Caenorhabditis elegans: one gene and its partners. The protein of the gene in region 1 purifies or fractionates together with the protein of each later gene. This does not show direct contact. Each region holds a gene or a part of one and is shown on either strand. Other genes may lie near its edges. The genes, in order: brd-1, syp-2 and syp-1.

Region 1 (6,718 bases):
TATGACTATGTCAATACTTATGCTTCTTATTATCCAACTGCAATGGATTCTTCATCTTTAAATATTTCACCAACTACTGGAAGTCCTAATTCTTCCCATTTCACCACGTTTACTCATTTTTCTACTCCATCTACATCTCCATCTACCTCTACTCAAAGTTCAACTCCACCGAGCAATTCTGATAATAAGAAGTCATTTCAATGCTCAAATTGTTCAGTAACTGAAACAATTCGTTGGAGGAATATTCGATCAAAGGAAGGAATTCAATGTAATGCTTGTTTTATTTATCAACGGAAATATAATGAGACTCGTCCAGTCACTGCCGTTAACAAATATCAAAAAAGAAAATTAAAGGTACAGGAAACGAATGGTGTAGATTCTTCTTAATGTAAATTGTATCATTGTAAATTGTATAACTCAATTGTAATTTTCTTGTTTTAAGCCGGTAAATTGTTTTTAATTAATATGATCTCATAACTTATATTTATATCTTGTTCTCGATTTTAATTACATCATAACTTTAATTGCATGGATTGGATGCCGTTGTGTATAAAATAACACTTCAAAAAATAATCATTCATATTGCAATTTTACAATAGAAACGCAAAAGAAAATATTTTAAAACGGAAAATGGTTAATGTGGTGGTGTTGTGATGGAGCATCCAAGAATCGCCTCTATTAACCACTGCTCGCTGACAAGATTGTACTTTGTGCAGTCGCGGAATTTGTCTCCTATCTGTAAAGAGAAATAAAAATGTCACCAAACTGAAACTACCGAATCCATAATAACAGGAAAACTCCTTCGTTAAACTTACATCATGTGTCAAGCTGTAGAGCACAAAGTTTGGTTTCAAGTTGGCATTATGGTACGGCGGTGGATCTTTTTCGTCAATAATGGGCTCCCTCGCTGCAGCTTGACCACCGGCAGATCGAATAATTTCAAAAAGAGCTGGGCGATCTGAAATTGAAAATTGAAAAAATTAAAATACTGTAAATTAGAATCGTACCGAGGAAGTTATACTTTGGCTTTGGAATGAAAAATTTGCAACCGGCGAACAATTTTGGTTGCTGAAAAATTTGGTTGTATTTTTTTCTTTAGTGGAAATCAAATCCGTACCATTTTAGTGATTGTCTTCTTCCATTGTTCAATAGTATTTTCAAATACTTCACCTTCCATCCATCTAACTTTCTGAACCATATAAGAACGATCATCATCGACTTTCGATGGATCAATAATGCACGCTCTCAGCCAATCTCGACTAACTATCATTCCCGATCTGAAAGTATGAATTTCCGCTTTGAAATTTCATATTTTCACATAGATTTTTTTGGCTCTCATACTGCACCCTTGCGATTGTTTGCAATTTTCCCATGGGATCAGTCTATAACTAGACAGGGAAACGCATTTTATAATACAATCGAGCCACTGTGAAACTGAAATGAAGGTGTTTCTGGTGAGTTATATACTACTTTTGCTAATATTCAAAACTAATTTTGCAGTGTTTCCTTCTTCTTCTTCTTTCAATTTATGTTAATGCAAAGAAAGCAGAATGTCGAACTGATTCGGATTGCTCGGATAATAGGCTTTGTGTTTATGGACAATGTCTTTTTTCAAATCATGCAAGTGGTGGAGTTGTTATCACTGACGAAAATGCTGATGAACCTTGTACTTTTGACTGTCCAGTTGGAAAAAAATGTGTGGCAGGAGCCTGTGTTCGTGCCTAATTATCTTTTTATCTCCAATAAATATGTAATGCATTGCGACCTGATTTGAAGGAATGATAGAAAATAGACCATAATTACCGAATATAACTGTTAAAAAATTATTTCAGCTTTGGAAAAATAATAAGTTCTGATTAGTTTTGAACTCTCGTGCAAATGAATGGCTAAATTCGAACGCTTTTCGTGATTTTTGCTTGATGTTCCGAAGATTGTCAGATTTTCATAAATTTTTTAAGCAAAAAAAAAGATGAATAAATGTGAAATTATCGACTTTCAATTCAATTTTGAAGTTTCAGCGAATTTCTTTCTGATTATCATGCGTTTTCTTACGAACAAATGCCTTCCATTTATTTGCGCGAGAATTTAAAAATAAGTAGCCCATTTTTTGAAAAATTTCGAAAAAATTAATTTCTTAACAGCTATAGTCTGTCATTACGGTCTATTTTCTGACATTAAAAATCCCAAAATGACTATCTCCCACTTTTTAGGATAATTTTAAAAACCTACTTTATGATAGCTTTTAAAATTTCTCCAATATGCTCCTTGTTAATATTGAGCACACGAGTTTTCAAATCAACGGTGACTACCACATGCGTCGGAGAATCCATATCAGCAGGAACTATCTGAATAAATTTATTTTATTTTTAAAAATTAATTGTTTTTACATTGATTTTTCCGGGAAGTTTTCGTTTTTCAGATTCAGTGAGCATCTTCTCATCTATGAGTTGAACGAAATGAAGACGAGATTTTGGAGGGGCGACGACTGAAAATTCAATTTTTATCACGAAGAATAAAATTGTCAAAAAATTTCTTACCAGGCTGTAAAACTCTCTGTTCAGTCTTGAATTTTTCGATTATTTTCCTAATTTTCGGATCACTTTTAGCCATTTCTTCGACAGTTTTTCCAGCAATATTTCGAATTTTGATGCTGGCACCTTTCGATAAAAGATATTCAACAATTTGAGTATTTTGACGGCGAACAGCCTCGTGAAGCGTTGTTTCTAATGTTGAGCCGCCTGAATTCTTCGTCAAGAAAGTTGATAGAAGTTGTTTCTTACATGAAGCATTAATAACTGCACCCGCTTCAACAAGTATCTTAACAGCTTCCAATGAGCTATTCTCAACTGCCACGTAAAGTGGTGTCTTTCCGTCTTCTTTCTCATTTACGCACGTTCCTGCCTCTACAGCACTTCGAAGTTGAGGAATACGATTATTGCGAATTGAATTGACCAGGACAGCTTCACCACGACGAGTACCATAAGAACTGCGACGCTGAACATTTAAAAAATTGCAAAAAGTTTGCGAAAATGTGAAAATTGGAATGAAGGCGTAGAGATCAAGTTCAATTTTCAAAAAAAAAAGTCAAGCCACCTAGGGGACTCGAACCCCTGACCTTAAGATTAAAAGTCTCACGCTCTACCAACTGAGCTAAGGAGGCCATGCGTGCTGTGATGCAAAGACTTGTTAAGTAAGGGACAGAGGCGCAGACAACAAGATAATGTGGACGTTGAGCGTGACAGAGTAGAAAGACGAACGCCCGAAAACTCTTTTATTGAAGTCACTCACTTGCTCTGATTTCACACTCATCGACTTCTCTCCAAAACTCATCGGTGATTGAGATCGTCGTTCGATTTTATCGGATTTAATCGAATTTTTACGACTTCTAGACGTCGATGGTACTTCTTCTGGTTCTTCAGGTTCCAATTTTGGTTGTTTCTTGGCGCTCGCACTCATTGAAGCTTGCCGTTTTGTGAGAGGAATCGCTTTCGAGAAAATATCTTCTTCGATAATTTCGGCTTTAACTGGATTACTGCTACTTCCGAAAGCTTGAGCATACGTTGCAACACCAGTTGCTGCTGGAGCAGTTGAGCGACGCTGAAGAATTTCCGTTAAAGTTCTGAAGCGTCTTTAAAGTGAAATTGTCATACCTCAATAAACGGCGTCAGTAAATCATTTTGATGAGTTCTCTGCGGAACTTGCGATGCAAAAAGATCAACTACAGGCGCAGCCGGTTCATTTTTGACGGAAGTTTTCAGTATCGATGACCTTTTGGGTTTTCTCTCATGAACACTGACAGTTGAAGGGCGTTTTGTCGAATTACGCGTTCTAAAAGTAAATAAAATTCAATTAATTGAAGCAATGTAACAAACTCACGGAGAAGCTTCTTTGCTGTAGTCGTGGAATATATCCAATTCTGGAGAGTTTGAATTTTCCCTGAATTTACTGGGAAAATATGAAAAAAAGTTCTGCGTTCGGGGGGAATCGAACCCCCGTCGAATGCTTGGAAGGCATCCATGCTGACCATTACACCACGAACGCGGCATGGGAAACCAGCTATTAAATGAAGAGACATTTCTACTTGAAGCCACCAAATAGACCGCATCAGGTTTGTAGAAGAAGCATGACGGGAATCGTTTTCTCGGAAAGATATCCCCGATATGTCGCGTTCGTGGTGTAATGGTCAGCATGGATGCCTTCCAAGCATTCGACGGGGGTTCGATTCCCCCCGAACGCAGATTTTTTCGACTTACCGGTTTTCATCTTTACACATCAAATCATCATCCTCTTCACCAAGTTGTCCCATCTCGTCTGGCATATGAGCTTGCGTCTCCAGGAATTTCTCTACGGCATCAGCTGGAGTTTTTTCTTTGTTAAAAATGTTTTGTGTACAGGCAAACTCTGCTTGAGTTAGAGATGTTGTTCCGACCTAAATGAGAATTTAATTTTCGAGCTTTTCACCATTGACTTACTTTCTGTAAAAGGTCGTTTAGTTCAGACAAAGTATCAAAGCACGTTTTCAGCATATGAGCTTCTGTGATTTTGGATGTGTCTAGTGGGAAAGCACAACTCGGACACATGTGTCGAGCCACTGAAGAGCGTTTTCCAGACGGTTTCTGTTGAAATGTGGCGATACATTCCCTGAACATAAACTGAAGTTATTGACAATTTATTAGGTTGCAATACCTACCAGCAATAAGCATGTTTGCAAGATGATCCGAGATATTGCAAGTCTCCCCTCGGTTTTTTGCTGAAATTTTATTTAAGAGGCAAAATCTTGTACAACAACTTACCATTTAACACACTCGATAGCTGTTCGAAACGTTTCCAATGCTTTTTTAGTGTTTTCAAACATTATTTGACGCTGAAACAATAATTAAATCAAACAGGAAAAGAATAAAATTCGAAAATCGCACTTGTTTGTTTGCGCGTCAGGTGTGGTGCGTGCGCACAGAATACATTTTATTTTACGAACAAAATATTTTACTTCTATTTCTTTTTCTTTCATTAAACTAAAATTACATTTATTTTTTGTGTTTTATAGAAAAATACAGTTTACTTGGTCTGGAAAATTCACGAGAATGATCCTCTCGTCAATTTATTCTCTTTTTAATTATAATTTTAAGTTTTAAGCATGAGACCGCCAAGTGAATTACTCGATATTATTTCAAAGCTTGCTGAGCTCGATCCATTAGTCAGAAAAGGAGCAGTTAGACAGCTTTCAAGCAAACAAGAGGTAGGAAAAAAGTAGCTGAAATAAATGCCTAATTAAAGTGTTATTTTTTTAGGAATTATCCGATAACGAGCTCAACACATATGTGATTGAACGTCTTATTTCTGGATGTGCTTCAGCTCGTGCTGCTGTTCGTTTGGGATATACAACCGCTTTGGGTACTATTTTAATGACAAAAGCAGGCGAATCATGGGAACTCGACAAAATATTGGCCGTTGCAGATAAAAAGATGGACCTGGCAGAAAAGGTTGGGATTGTAAGTTCCTTTATTTGTACTAAATGTTTCGATTCAGACTGTTGGTACCGGACATGCAATTGGACATTATCTTATTCTTGTCACATATTGTCAAACCAGAAAACTCAAAGAAGCAGAAGCTACAAAAATTGTTGAGCATTCGAAGAAAATCAGAGACTTTGCTCCAAGCTTGGCATTTTCACAGATTAACCTTCTATGCAGTTTGGCTACAAAGACAAAAGAAAGTGTTTTCCAAAAGGTAAATCAATTTACTGTTTGAACAAAAACAAATCTATATTAATTTTTAAATTTCAGAGTGTATCCCCAGCCATCGAAATGAATTTGGAAGGTCTCAGCTCTCAGTTCACACCGGAAAATGTCTACCTGGCACTTCGCCTTCGTAATTCTCATTCAACAGTGGTTGCAAAATACGCAAAGTTTGTAAAGAAAGACGGATCTATTCAATTTTCTGATGATCAGTATCCTAAAATTTTGGCTGCTTTAAAGGTTAGTTTTCTATTTTAAAATTTTTATAAATACTTTATTTTCAGCGCTGTGACTTCGCCACAGTTCAAGTATTTCTTCCACTTCTCATCAAAGCATCAGTTGAATCATCTGGTTTTGATAAAATGTACCTGAGTAAGTTATACTTTTGAAAAGTTTTTTTTATAAATTCTCATTTTCAGAAGTTCTCGAGCCATGGGCCCTTTCAAGCAACGAGACGAAAGTTTTCGATAGAATTCTCACGATTGTCACTCAATTCTTTGATTTTGGAGGCGATGTGAAATCAATTGTTGTAGTATTTACTAAAGAAGTTTTGAATCGAATGGAGACCGCTACACGTGGAAAAGGACAATTCAGATTGATGAGTAAAAAGGTAATATTCAAGAGTCTTTATTGTTCAAATTTACAAAAATTAGTGAGATAGAAATTATCTAAAGGTAAACTGGCTTTTGTGATCGAATATGTCTCTGAATTTGTTTGATTGCTTTTCGGAGAAGAGCCTGGCAATCTTCCGGTACTGAAAAAAGATTTTTTAAAACTCAAGCTTTCTTCTAAACATCGAAAACATACATTTCTTGCATTGTTGTGTAAGTTCCTCATTTTCCACACAATATTCGGATGTTATTTCACACTCGATAGAACATAAATCGAGTACAGGAAGCCAGACAGCATCAGAAAATGGATCACCGCCTGTAAAAAAAGTGTTGGAACAATATTTAATTTCTTGTATCTTAAAAATGTATGCT
Region 2 (3,624 bases), on another chromosome or scaffold:
ACTTTGTGTTATCGTAATACAGTAACTCGTTATCCGCGTGGCGAGACCCATGCGCATAAGATATCGCGTTGATTTTTCCATGTTTTTTTCTATGTTTTGTATTTTAATTTGTCGGGAAAAAAATCAATAATCGAAGAAAAAATGAAACAAAAATCGATAAGTACAGCCGGAAAACGTGAAAAAAATCTTCTTGGCAAACTTTTTTCTACAAATCAGTAAAAATTTAGAAAAATTCTATAATTTTTTTACACTATTATTCGGCATAATAAGATTTTTTCTGTTATTTTTGGGAAAAAAAAACACAGACGCTACTCCACAAATTGCATAAGTATTCAAAAAAAACTTACCGTTCATACTTTGTGAAACATTTATCGAGTTACAGTCAAAAAGAGTAAAAGGAAACTACGCCATCGGACAATTGGTGGATTTGCATAAATTGATATTTTGAAATTCAAATTTTTCAAGTTTTTGTTTCATACGTTTCATTTTGTCCTGTGTCCTATGCGGCGGAGGCGTAATGCATTCTGTGAAAGTTGAGTGATGCGAGTTTTTAAACAAAATTTTATTCATTTTGGTCAAATATGGATTTTGGATTGTTTTTTTTTCAAAAAAAAAAGTTCCCATATTTGAGAAAGCAATACATGCAATACGATGGACAAACATTAAAATGATACATGTCATGTAATAAAACAAGGAAATTGAATACAACAGATGATTTATAACTTGTCAGCCCACGGCTCGAGCGTTTCAACCAAATCCAGAAGTTTGTCGTAATGAGCAGAGAAATCTTCCGAGAACCCATCGTTGTTGATTTTTGCATTATTGATTATTTTTATAGCCGCCTGAACATCATTGAGACAAGTGGAATGATGCGATCTGGCGTCAACGCGCTGAAATTTTTAAATATATATTTACTAATTATCTAATTCTTACATTTTCGAGTGTTTTAGACCAATTGTTGGCTTTCTCGACGAGCTCTTTTGTTTTTCCTTCTAGAGAAATGAGCTTCTTTGACTGTTTCTCCATTTGGTCGCTGAGTTTACTTTCGGCTAATGCCATATTTGCGATACGTTCGATTGAATTTGCCAGCTCCATTGTCAGATCTTGTGTCATTTTCGCCTGCTTGATCATTTTGTGTTCAATTTCAGAAACGTCATCCAATATGTCGCTTTGCTTACTCACAAGCTGAAATAAATTTTAATTGATTTATTTTCTGAATAACATTGGATCATACTGAAATTATATCGGCCACATCATGAGCAGGTTTCGATTTCTTCGGCGTGGAATGCATAGTTCGAAGATTTTTCGCTTTTGCAGGTTGTTTAGTTTGGGCCGCCACAGTTACTGCAGCTGTTTTCTGTGAAGAAGACACTGGAGATGCGAAGCTGACTCTCTAAAGATTCAATATTTTTAGTGAACCAATAAGAAGACTTCAATTACCCGGTCATCTTGGGGTCCTGGCCGCTTTTTGAGCGAAGATCGATGGGCAGAATTCATTCAAAAATTCTCAGAAGCGAAGTTTAAAATTAAAAAAAAAGAATAATGGAATCGAAATGGAATTTGGTAAAGAATTCACAAAAACTACGGTATCGGTCATTTTCCATGTGTTGGTCTGGCAACGCTGTGGAATTATTTTGTAATGCGCCTTTAAAGTTACAGTAGTACATTTTTAAATGCAGATTTAATAGTTTTCAAGGATTTGTTTATTGAACCATCTGCTTTTCAATCATGAAATAATTTAAGACTTTTTAATGCTTTCAGTTTACAGCTGCCTCGCATGCATGTATCTCAAGAATGATCACTTGTTTTCTTGATTTCTCTGTTGTAACGACGCTCCGCTCTAACGCATGCGCATGTTGTTTAGCGAATCGCGGACGCAAACCAATTTTTATTTTCTTTCTCAATTGCCCCTCTTTGTGCTCTTTTTCGCGAGTTATTTCCGATATTTCACAATTTATTAATACACTTAGCTCACGAGGGCGACAGTTCATGAATGTCTCTTCGAATTTCTAAATCTTTCAGTCGTGCGGTTCGTTTAAACGTTTATGAGCCGTCTGAAGTTTGTTCGTGTCGGGCTTCCATTTTTCGCAATCGTCTTGGGTAGCGCGTACGGACTTCACTTTTTCCAACAAGTCCGATTCGATTTTCGAAAAATCAAGCAAGAAGACGATAATCTTGAGCTCTTGGTGCGTTTCGTTTCTAGAAAATATCTCAACCTATTAACGTGTGATTTCTACCCTTTTCTAATTTTTTTTCTCATTTAAACTCTAAATTTATTGTTTGCAGAGGTCAGATTTGACAAGAAGCGGTCTGCGTCTTCGCGAAGGAGTCACTGTCGAGTCAGTTTATAAAGTGGGTTTTTGAAAAAAAAAAAAGATCTTTAATAAATACATAGTTTTAAGGAAGTCGCTGAACTTGACACGGACAACTGGGAAAACATCCGAGGTCCAAGAGATACTGAAGATCTCACCGACTATAACCTAATCAAAAAGCAGCAACAAGAAGCTAGTCGCAAAGTTCGAGAGTTGAAATCTAATGTCTGAAAACATCCCCGACATTGACCCCAACGAGCTCCTTCCAAACGCGCCAGGACAACATCAGGACCTTGGAGTTGATAATCCTCCAGAACCAGATAACGCTTCAATCCGAGCAGAGAGAGGTTCACCGACTCCGTCGTCCGTGACAGTCGACAACGCACCCTCCCTGCCGGATCGGTCATTCTCGCATTTACCAATTAACGATCCTTTCAGCGGAGAAATTCCAGAAGTATGTATATACTCACAGACTCCTCGGCGCGATATTACGGCGCGTAGTTGTCTTCTGTAAATCCCGATATTTTCACAATTTTCAATTGATTTGAGTATCCATATCCGCGGTAAAGCTGATATTTCTCTATTAAATAAAAGAAAAATAAACACCTGCAGAATGTTTTCAATGAGCAACCCTTAATGTAAAAAATACTCGTACAAAAACCATAATTTTTATAAGATACTATTATAATAGTAACATTATGTGTTTATGAACATATTTTAAATGAAAGTTAGCAAAAAACAAGAGCTAGAAATGATTGAAAGGCGCATCCAAGGAGGCTGTGAATTCTAGCTTCAATAATCTGATAATAAAAAATAATTTCCAGGTGCCGATCCCATCATCTGCAATCTCAATCTCCAGTCAAGCTTTATCTGATCCAGTTCCCACACCATCCGACACTTCAAGACCTGGAATTCTTCGCAACGACGAGCAAGGTTCGACATCCAGTCATCCAGTCGATCCACAAGAACCTAACGAAGTTAACAACGAGTATTTGGCGCATCTTCTCGATTTAGGATTCGACGAGTACACTGCAGTTCTTGCGTTGAAAAGAACGAATAGCGCCGGCGTTGAACAGGTGCCGTTTATTTCTTTATGTTTTGCGCTAGAACACATTAACTTTAATTATGTTAATAACACGCATGAAATTATGTTTCATGTATATTAAACAGATCTCATAATTGTCTCTCATATTTCAGGCAGTTGCTTGGATTGTTGAACGTTCCAACGAAAGCGATTTCGACGAGGATTCGAGTAGCAGTGAGAACGAAGCAGACGAAGAAATGGGAGCTGTTCAATCAGTTGGTAGGAATT
Region 3 (5,845 bases), on another chromosome or scaffold:
AGAACCTTCGATCTTTACAATATTTATCCATATTCCTCAATGCCTCAATCATTTTCTCGTAAACGACAACTTTCCGGTCCGCCGATAGATAAGGATCTAAAGAAAATGTACTTTTCAGAGAAACAAGAAGCTCGAAGATCTCACCAAATTCTCCATAGAACAGATTGAGGAGTGTTGTGGGAGAAACTAAGTAAATTATAAAAGTAAATCCCAAAATAAGTAGAATAACCGAATAGGGCAATTGTCTTTGTTGAGACATTTGAGGTAAGTATGTAGATAAAGTCTTCCGCCGCCTTTGCAAAAAAAATCAGATTAAAAGGGCGGAAAAATTGGAGGAATGTCTAGTGGAAGGCGTGCATTGTGTGTTGACCTGTGGGAATTAAAAAAAAAAGTGTTTGAACTTAGACAAGACATGCGAGAACAATTCCCGTTCAAATTGGCCAATTTGTCGGGGAGTTTTTTTGAAAAAAGATTCTTCCTGCAATTCGAGAAGAATTGAAATCTGGTTTTTTCTCTCTCGTTGCCGCAAATTACTTTATATAAAACTCTAAAAACACAAAAAAAAATAGCACAAGATTGAAATGGTACATAGTCGTTTCTTCCCCACACACACATTATTTCTTCCCTCCTCTCTTTCGGCGAACATCTGCAGTATGAGCTTCGGCTCTCGTTTTAAGACGATCGGCCGCACGAGTTCGTTTCAACGGTCTGGTAGCTGCGGTAAGTGGTGTGCTCGTCATCAATGGCGCCGAGAATACATCATGAGACACTTGTCGGTGTACTGGAGTAACTTCTACACTTGGCTGCGGCGGAACTACTCGATCTGAATAGTCGGATTCCACGATATCGATGGTGTCGTTAAATTGATCGCCGTTTGCAGCACGTTGTTCTTTAATCTGAAAAATGGAAAAAAAATTAGTGAACAATTTCCGTTGAAAAAACTATCGAAAAATGGGGTAAATTTTGAACCACAATAAAATTTTCTTGTTTCATAGCGAAATTGGTTCTTTTGGGCACATTTTGAGTCTACAAATAACTCTGTATTAAATTCAAAAATTATTATTACTTGATTGAACAACTTCTCGTGTTCCTTGGCGGCGTCCTTGATTTGCTTATCATAGTCATTGATTTCCAACTGCATAGCAGAGATCTGAACAATAAAAAATTATTGGTTACAGTACTATATATTTAAGGAATAACCTCTTCTTCAAGATCACTCTCCGTTTTTGAAGATTGGAGCTGCTCCAGTTCCTTCTTTCCTTTCTCTAGCTTCTCTTGTTCTTTAGCAATTGCTTTTTTGAGACTGGTGATTTTCTTTCGATCTGATCCTTTAACTGTATTTGATTTCTTCTTTTCAGCAATTTTTCGACGAAGAAGTTCGATAATTGATCTTTTGCGCTCTTCAATCAATTTCTTATTCTCGATGTCTTCTTGTTGACGTGCCTCATACTTCAATTTTAATATTTTCGTATCCTCCTTGATCTTTGAGAGGGAAGCTTTCAGCTGTTCATTTTCCACTCGAACTTTTGCAGTCTCCGCTGTGATCTTTTCGATTTCCTTTTCAATTTCAGTCGTTTTGTCTTGCGAACGGCTTGCTTCGAATTGAAATAGCTGAGAACGGAGTGTGACGCAATCTTCCCTCATTTGCTCCAACTTCTCCTCTGATGCTTTGAGATTCAGTTTTCCCTCTTCGAGCGCTTCTCGGTCTTGATCTGAAATTTAGAAGAACATTTCATATTTTCTATTTACTGAAGAATTTAATACCTTGGCGAATTATCATTTCATCGTATTTCGCTTGCATCATTGCGCACGACGAATTCAGCTCCACCAATTTTTCATGTTTCTGCTTGGCTGCCATGATCATTTCACGAAGCCTCTGAAAATATTCAATTGATAATTTAAAAAAGAATATTCAATAACTAACCTTGCACTCATTTTTAGCTTCTCCGTTATTACGAGATTGTTCGCGTTGAATTATCTTAGTGAGCTCTCTTTCACGACTAGACAACAAATCTTCGAATTTGGATAACTCATAATCCGCTTCATTAAGACTTTTCTCCTTTTCGCCTGATTGTAGCTTGGTGCGATCTGGGATGCTTTCTGAAATTGGATATTTTCAGTGATGATTTTCAAGAAAAATTGAACATTTTCTCACTTTTGACAGAGACAAGTTGCAATTCGATCGACTTGCACGACTCTTTGAATACGTTAAGCTCCTTCTTTATATCATGCATTCGTTGCGACTCGGTTTGAACTTGAGAAGCCAGCTCGCGAGATTTCGCCGCCTGCTCATCAGTTTGCTCGCCTTTATCTTGCTCAGTCTGCTCGTCAAGCTTCTCAAGAACGTATTGCTGTGTGAGCATGATCTCATCGCGAAGAAAGCCTGACGATTGGTCATCAACTGGTGTCTCAATAAGTGCTTCAGTGGGAGCGTCAACCCAAATTGTGAAGTTATCCATTGCCAGAAACCTGAAAATAAATATTTATAAGCATTTTCGGCAAAAATTTATATTAAAAATTGGAAAAATCGAAGAAAAAAGATTGAAAAATGAAGAAAAAAACTTTGTAAAACGGTTTAAAATTTAAAGAATAATTTTTAAAATATTTTTTTTAATATGAGCGGAGGCCGCAAACACCGCGGCGCAAATTTGCAGATTGCCTACAGTAACTTGAGATTTTGTCAATGGAGCGCGTTTTGTTGCAGCTATTTTTTTCAAGATTATATGGTTTTTTTGCTGTAAAACATGACAAAAACTGCAGAAAACTTCGTAAAATTCAGGAAAAAAAGACGGAAAATTGAACAAAAAATCAGCGCTGATTTTGAATTGGTTGTGCTCCTTTGTGATTTCGAACATTAGCTTTTCATTGAAAATATAATTATTTATTGAAAAAAGTCCGTAAGTAAATATTTAAAATTGTCGTGTCAAGACCCTGTGTCCAGCTCCTCGAAATACAAGTAATATGATTTATTGTTTAATTGTGAATTTGAAAAAAAACATAAAAAGACGAATGTTACACGCATTGGAAATCCAAAAAAAAATATTCACACATTTCTATAAGTAGATTATTCATGTTTCACTTGAGATCATCAGAAATATCACTTTTCGAACTATTCGACAGATCACTCAACGAAGTATCATCATCATCATTGTAATCGTACACGGTGATCGGATCAGTATATCGTGGAGCCATTGGTCCAACAGGTCCCATTTGGCTGAACGGGGAAGGTGCTGGAGCAGCAGCAGAAGGAGCCGGTGGGAATGGTGCAGAAGTAGAGGGTAATGCGGTGAAGTTGAACGAGTGTGTGAATTGAAGAGCCGGAGGTTGTAGTTGGAATGGTTGAAGAGTTGAAGCTGTCGCCGGTCCAAAGTAGAAATTGCTGTTGAATGGCTGAAAATTTTTATTTATTTCCGAGACGTGAAATTTTGTGATTTTTTAAAATTTTTGTTAAATTTGAAAAGGTGTGCGCCTTTAAAGATTACTGTAGTTTTACGGAAAATGGGAATTTTATTTTAGATTTTTAAAAATTTATTCGGAACACTATGAAAAATCGATGAAGAAATTTTGAAAATACAGTAATCCTTAAAGGCGCATACTTGTTTTGCACTTTACAACAATTTTCGTGTCGAGACCGGCTACCGTAGGGGTTTAAGCCAAGAAATGCAGGATCTTCTGAAAACAAATGCACACTTCTCCACGAGGAGTACACGGGCCGCGTAAATCGACAGAACTGCTCTGACAATTTTTGGAATTTGAATTACCGCGAACTTGGCGCTAAGACACGCCCATTTTTCCGTGCCGTACTTTTGTAATTTTTTGAATTTCGAAGGAAATTCGTATTTTTCATCCATTTTTTTTTAATTGTGACACTTTTCATGTAGATTTTTACTCGGAGAAGGTATTTTTTTGTATTTTTGACGTTTTTTAGGAAAAAAAATTTGAAAATACGCAAAATTCCCTCTCCGAGTGGAAAATAACATGAAAAGTGTATTTTTAAGAATTTAAAATTTCTTCAACATCAAAAACGCAAAAAAAAATCGGCAAAGAAAGACAAATTTGCGTCGAAATCGAAAAAAAACCAACAGTGCCGCACAGAAAAATGGGCGTGGTTTCACGCAGTTTTTGTACCCCTCTAGGAGAAGTGTGCAGTTTTTTTTTGCTGGAATTCTTAATTTTAGTCCGTTTTTGCTAATTTTTAGCATTCAAATTTGCTAAAATTCTTGCTGAAAATCGCAAAATTTCGCTGAAAATCGCTAAATGTATAGTTTTTTAATCATAAAATACAATTTTTGACGATTTAATGCCAAAATTTGCGAAAATAGTCCAATTTCACTGCAAATTTTTACCTGAAAAACTGGCACCGAATTCTTCTTTTCCATCTCCAACTGCTCACATCTCTTCTCAAGCTTCTCACATTTGCTCCGATACTTTTCCATTTCCTTCTTAAATTGATCTCGTTCTCGGCGAAGCTTCTCCACATCCGACACGCTCGGCATATTTAAATTGAAATTTTCCATAGCATTATGCACATAATTTTCCCGTTCAATTCGCTCAGCAACTCGCTTTCTTTTCCGTTTTTCTTGTCGCCGAGACTCTTCGTGTTCCCATTTTTGTAGTGTAAATTGGGTGAACTCGTAAATCGAATCTTCACTTGGATATTGATTTTCTGGACTAGAACGATCGAGGTGAACTCGTCGCCTTTTGAGATTTGGTTGATCAAATGTCGCGTCAAGGTCGAGAGTTTCATCGTGATGAAGTTTTGGAGTTGTTGTAGTTGGTGGTGGTGGTGGAACAGGAGGTTCAGATTCAGTAAATCTATAGGGTTTTGGTGATGGACCGGGTTGTAGCTGAAAAATATTTGATTTTTTAAAAAAATTGGGTTTTTTATTTTAAAAAATTGAAAATTTCAGGTTGTTTTTTATGAGAAAATACAATTTTTCAGATTTTACAGAAAAATTTAAAAAAAAACATTTTTTTGGCTTTTTGGATTTGTATCGCGCTTTTGAATTGAAAAAAAAGGCATTTTTCTGATTTTTTATTGGAAAACTCGAATTTTTTTTGGTATATTTTTGTTGTAATGGAATTTTTCTGACTATTAACCATTTTTCTTGTCTTTTTATCGGGAAATTTGAATATTTCTCGATTTTTACATGATCAACTGGAATTTTTAAAGTTATTTCATTGGAAAACCCGGTTTTTCTGGATTTTTTCGTTGAAAAATCTAGATTTTCCGTTTTTTTTTGTTAAAAAATTGAATTTTATTCTGAAATTGGCTTTTTTTGTGTTTTCAGCGGAAAATATGGATTTTAATAGATTTTTAACTGGAAAATTCGAATTTTCCTTGTGTTTTCATTGAAGAAAATCAAAAATTTTCCGCTTTTTAGTGGAAAAACCGGATTTTTCTAGATTTTTCTTATTAAAACTGAACATTTTCTGGATTCTTCCGTGAAAAATCAGGATTTTAAGGTTTTTTGAGGAAAACAAAGAATTTTCTTGAAAAAGTCAATATTTTCTGGTTTTATAGAGGGAAAATCAGAAATTTTCCGCTTTTTTATCGGAAAATTCGAATATTTCTTGATTTTTACATGATAAACTGGAATTTTTTAAAGTTATTTTATTGGAAAACCTGGTTTTTCTGGTTTCTTGTTTAAAAAAAAAGAATTTTTCTCGGAAATTTGCCGATTTTTTTTGGATTTTCAACGGAAAATAGGGATTTCAATAGATTTTTAACTGGAAAATTCGAATTTTCCTTGTTTTTATTGGAAAAAATCAGAAATTTTCGGGTTTTTAATAAGCAAACGCTAAATTTGGCGAATATTTCAAACAAAAAGCCAGTTTCCGGCTG

The links.
Region 2: the proteins of brd-1 (region 1) and syp-2 purify together in Caenorhabditis elegans (affinity purification with western blotting, with the first as the bait; one study listed by BioGRID). This does not show direct contact.
Region 3: the proteins of brd-1 (region 1) and syp-1 purify together in Caenorhabditis elegans (affinity purification with western blotting, with the first as the bait; one study listed by BioGRID). This does not show direct contact.

The regions. Positions count from the first base shown.
Region 1 is NC_003281.10:6,884,641-6,891,358, forward strand, and holds brd-1 (BRCA1-associated RING domain protein 1), read right to left. Parts: upstream 4,865-6,718; 5' UTR 4,856-4,864; coding exon 4,794-4,855; intron 4,751-4,793; coding exon 4,691-4,750; intron 4,642-4,690; coding exon 4,473-4,641; intron 4,430-4,472; coding exon 4,254-4,429; intron 4,246-4,253; exon of another isoform or gene 4,163-4,245; intron 4,042-4,162; exon of another isoform or gene 3,951-4,041; intron 3,937-3,950; coding exon 3,877-3,936; intron 3,829-3,876; coding exon 3,651-3,828; intron 3,598-3,650; coding exon 3,289-3,597; intron 3,164-3,288; exon of another isoform or gene 3,076-3,163; intron 2,995-3,075; coding exon 2,781-2,994; intron 2,739-2,780; coding exon 2,538-2,738; intron 2,486-2,537; coding exon 2,388-2,485; intron 2,346-2,387; coding exon 2,230-2,345; intron 1,278-2,229; coding exon 1,118-1,277; intron 1,069-1,117; coding exon 1,008-1,068; intron 959-1,007; coding exon 816-958; intron 737-815; coding exon 635-736; 3' UTR 567-634; downstream 1-566. Other genes in the region: med-2 (GATA-type domain-containing protein), read left to right, coding at 1-387; K04C2.2 (DNA polymerase V), read left to right, coding at 5,135-5,236, 5,289-5,480, 5,527-5,727, 5,784-5,975, 6,020-6,107, 6,155-6,345; K04C2.5 (INSulin related), read right to left, coding at 6,404-6,489, 6,543-6,662. UniProt on the Caenorhabditis elegans protein: Constituent of the CeBCD complex that possesses E3 ubiquitin-protein ligase activity.
Region 2 is NC_003283.11:5,534,642-5,538,265, reverse strand, and holds syp-2 (Biogenesis of lysosome-related organelles complex 1 subunit 1), read right to left. Parts: upstream 1,780-3,624; 5' UTR 1,498-1,779; coding exon 1,441-1,497; intron 1,394-1,440; coding exon 1,235-1,393; intron 1,186-1,234; coding exon 934-1,185; intron 891-933; coding exon 717-890; 3' UTR 549-716; downstream 1-548. Other genes in the region: cox-16 (Cytochrome c oxidase assembly protein COX16 homolog, mitochondrial), read left to right, coding at 2,046-2,186, 2,287-2,352, 2,403-2,543; C24G6.8 (putative peptidyl-tRNA hydrolase 2), read left to right, coding at 2,536-2,766, 3,137-3,388, 3,510-3,615.
Region 3 is NC_003283.11:16,402,377-16,408,221, reverse strand, and holds syp-1 (uncharacterized protein), read right to left. Parts: upstream 3,949-5,845; 5' UTR 3,391-3,948; coding exon of another isoform or gene 3,076-3,390; 5' UTR 2,460-3,075; coding exon 2,156-2,459; intron 2,101-2,155; coding exon 1,925-2,100; intron 1,877-1,924; coding exon 1,765-1,876; intron 1,713-1,764; coding exon 1,201-1,712; intron 1,151-1,200; coding exon 1,067-1,150; intron 897-1,066; coding exon 615-896; 3' UTR 521-614; downstream 1-520. Other genes in the region: F26D2.3 (Core-2/I-Branching enzyme), read right to left, coding at 1-96, 145-259; F13A7.14 (BZIP domain-containing protein), read right to left, coding at 3,076-3,390, 4,347-4,847.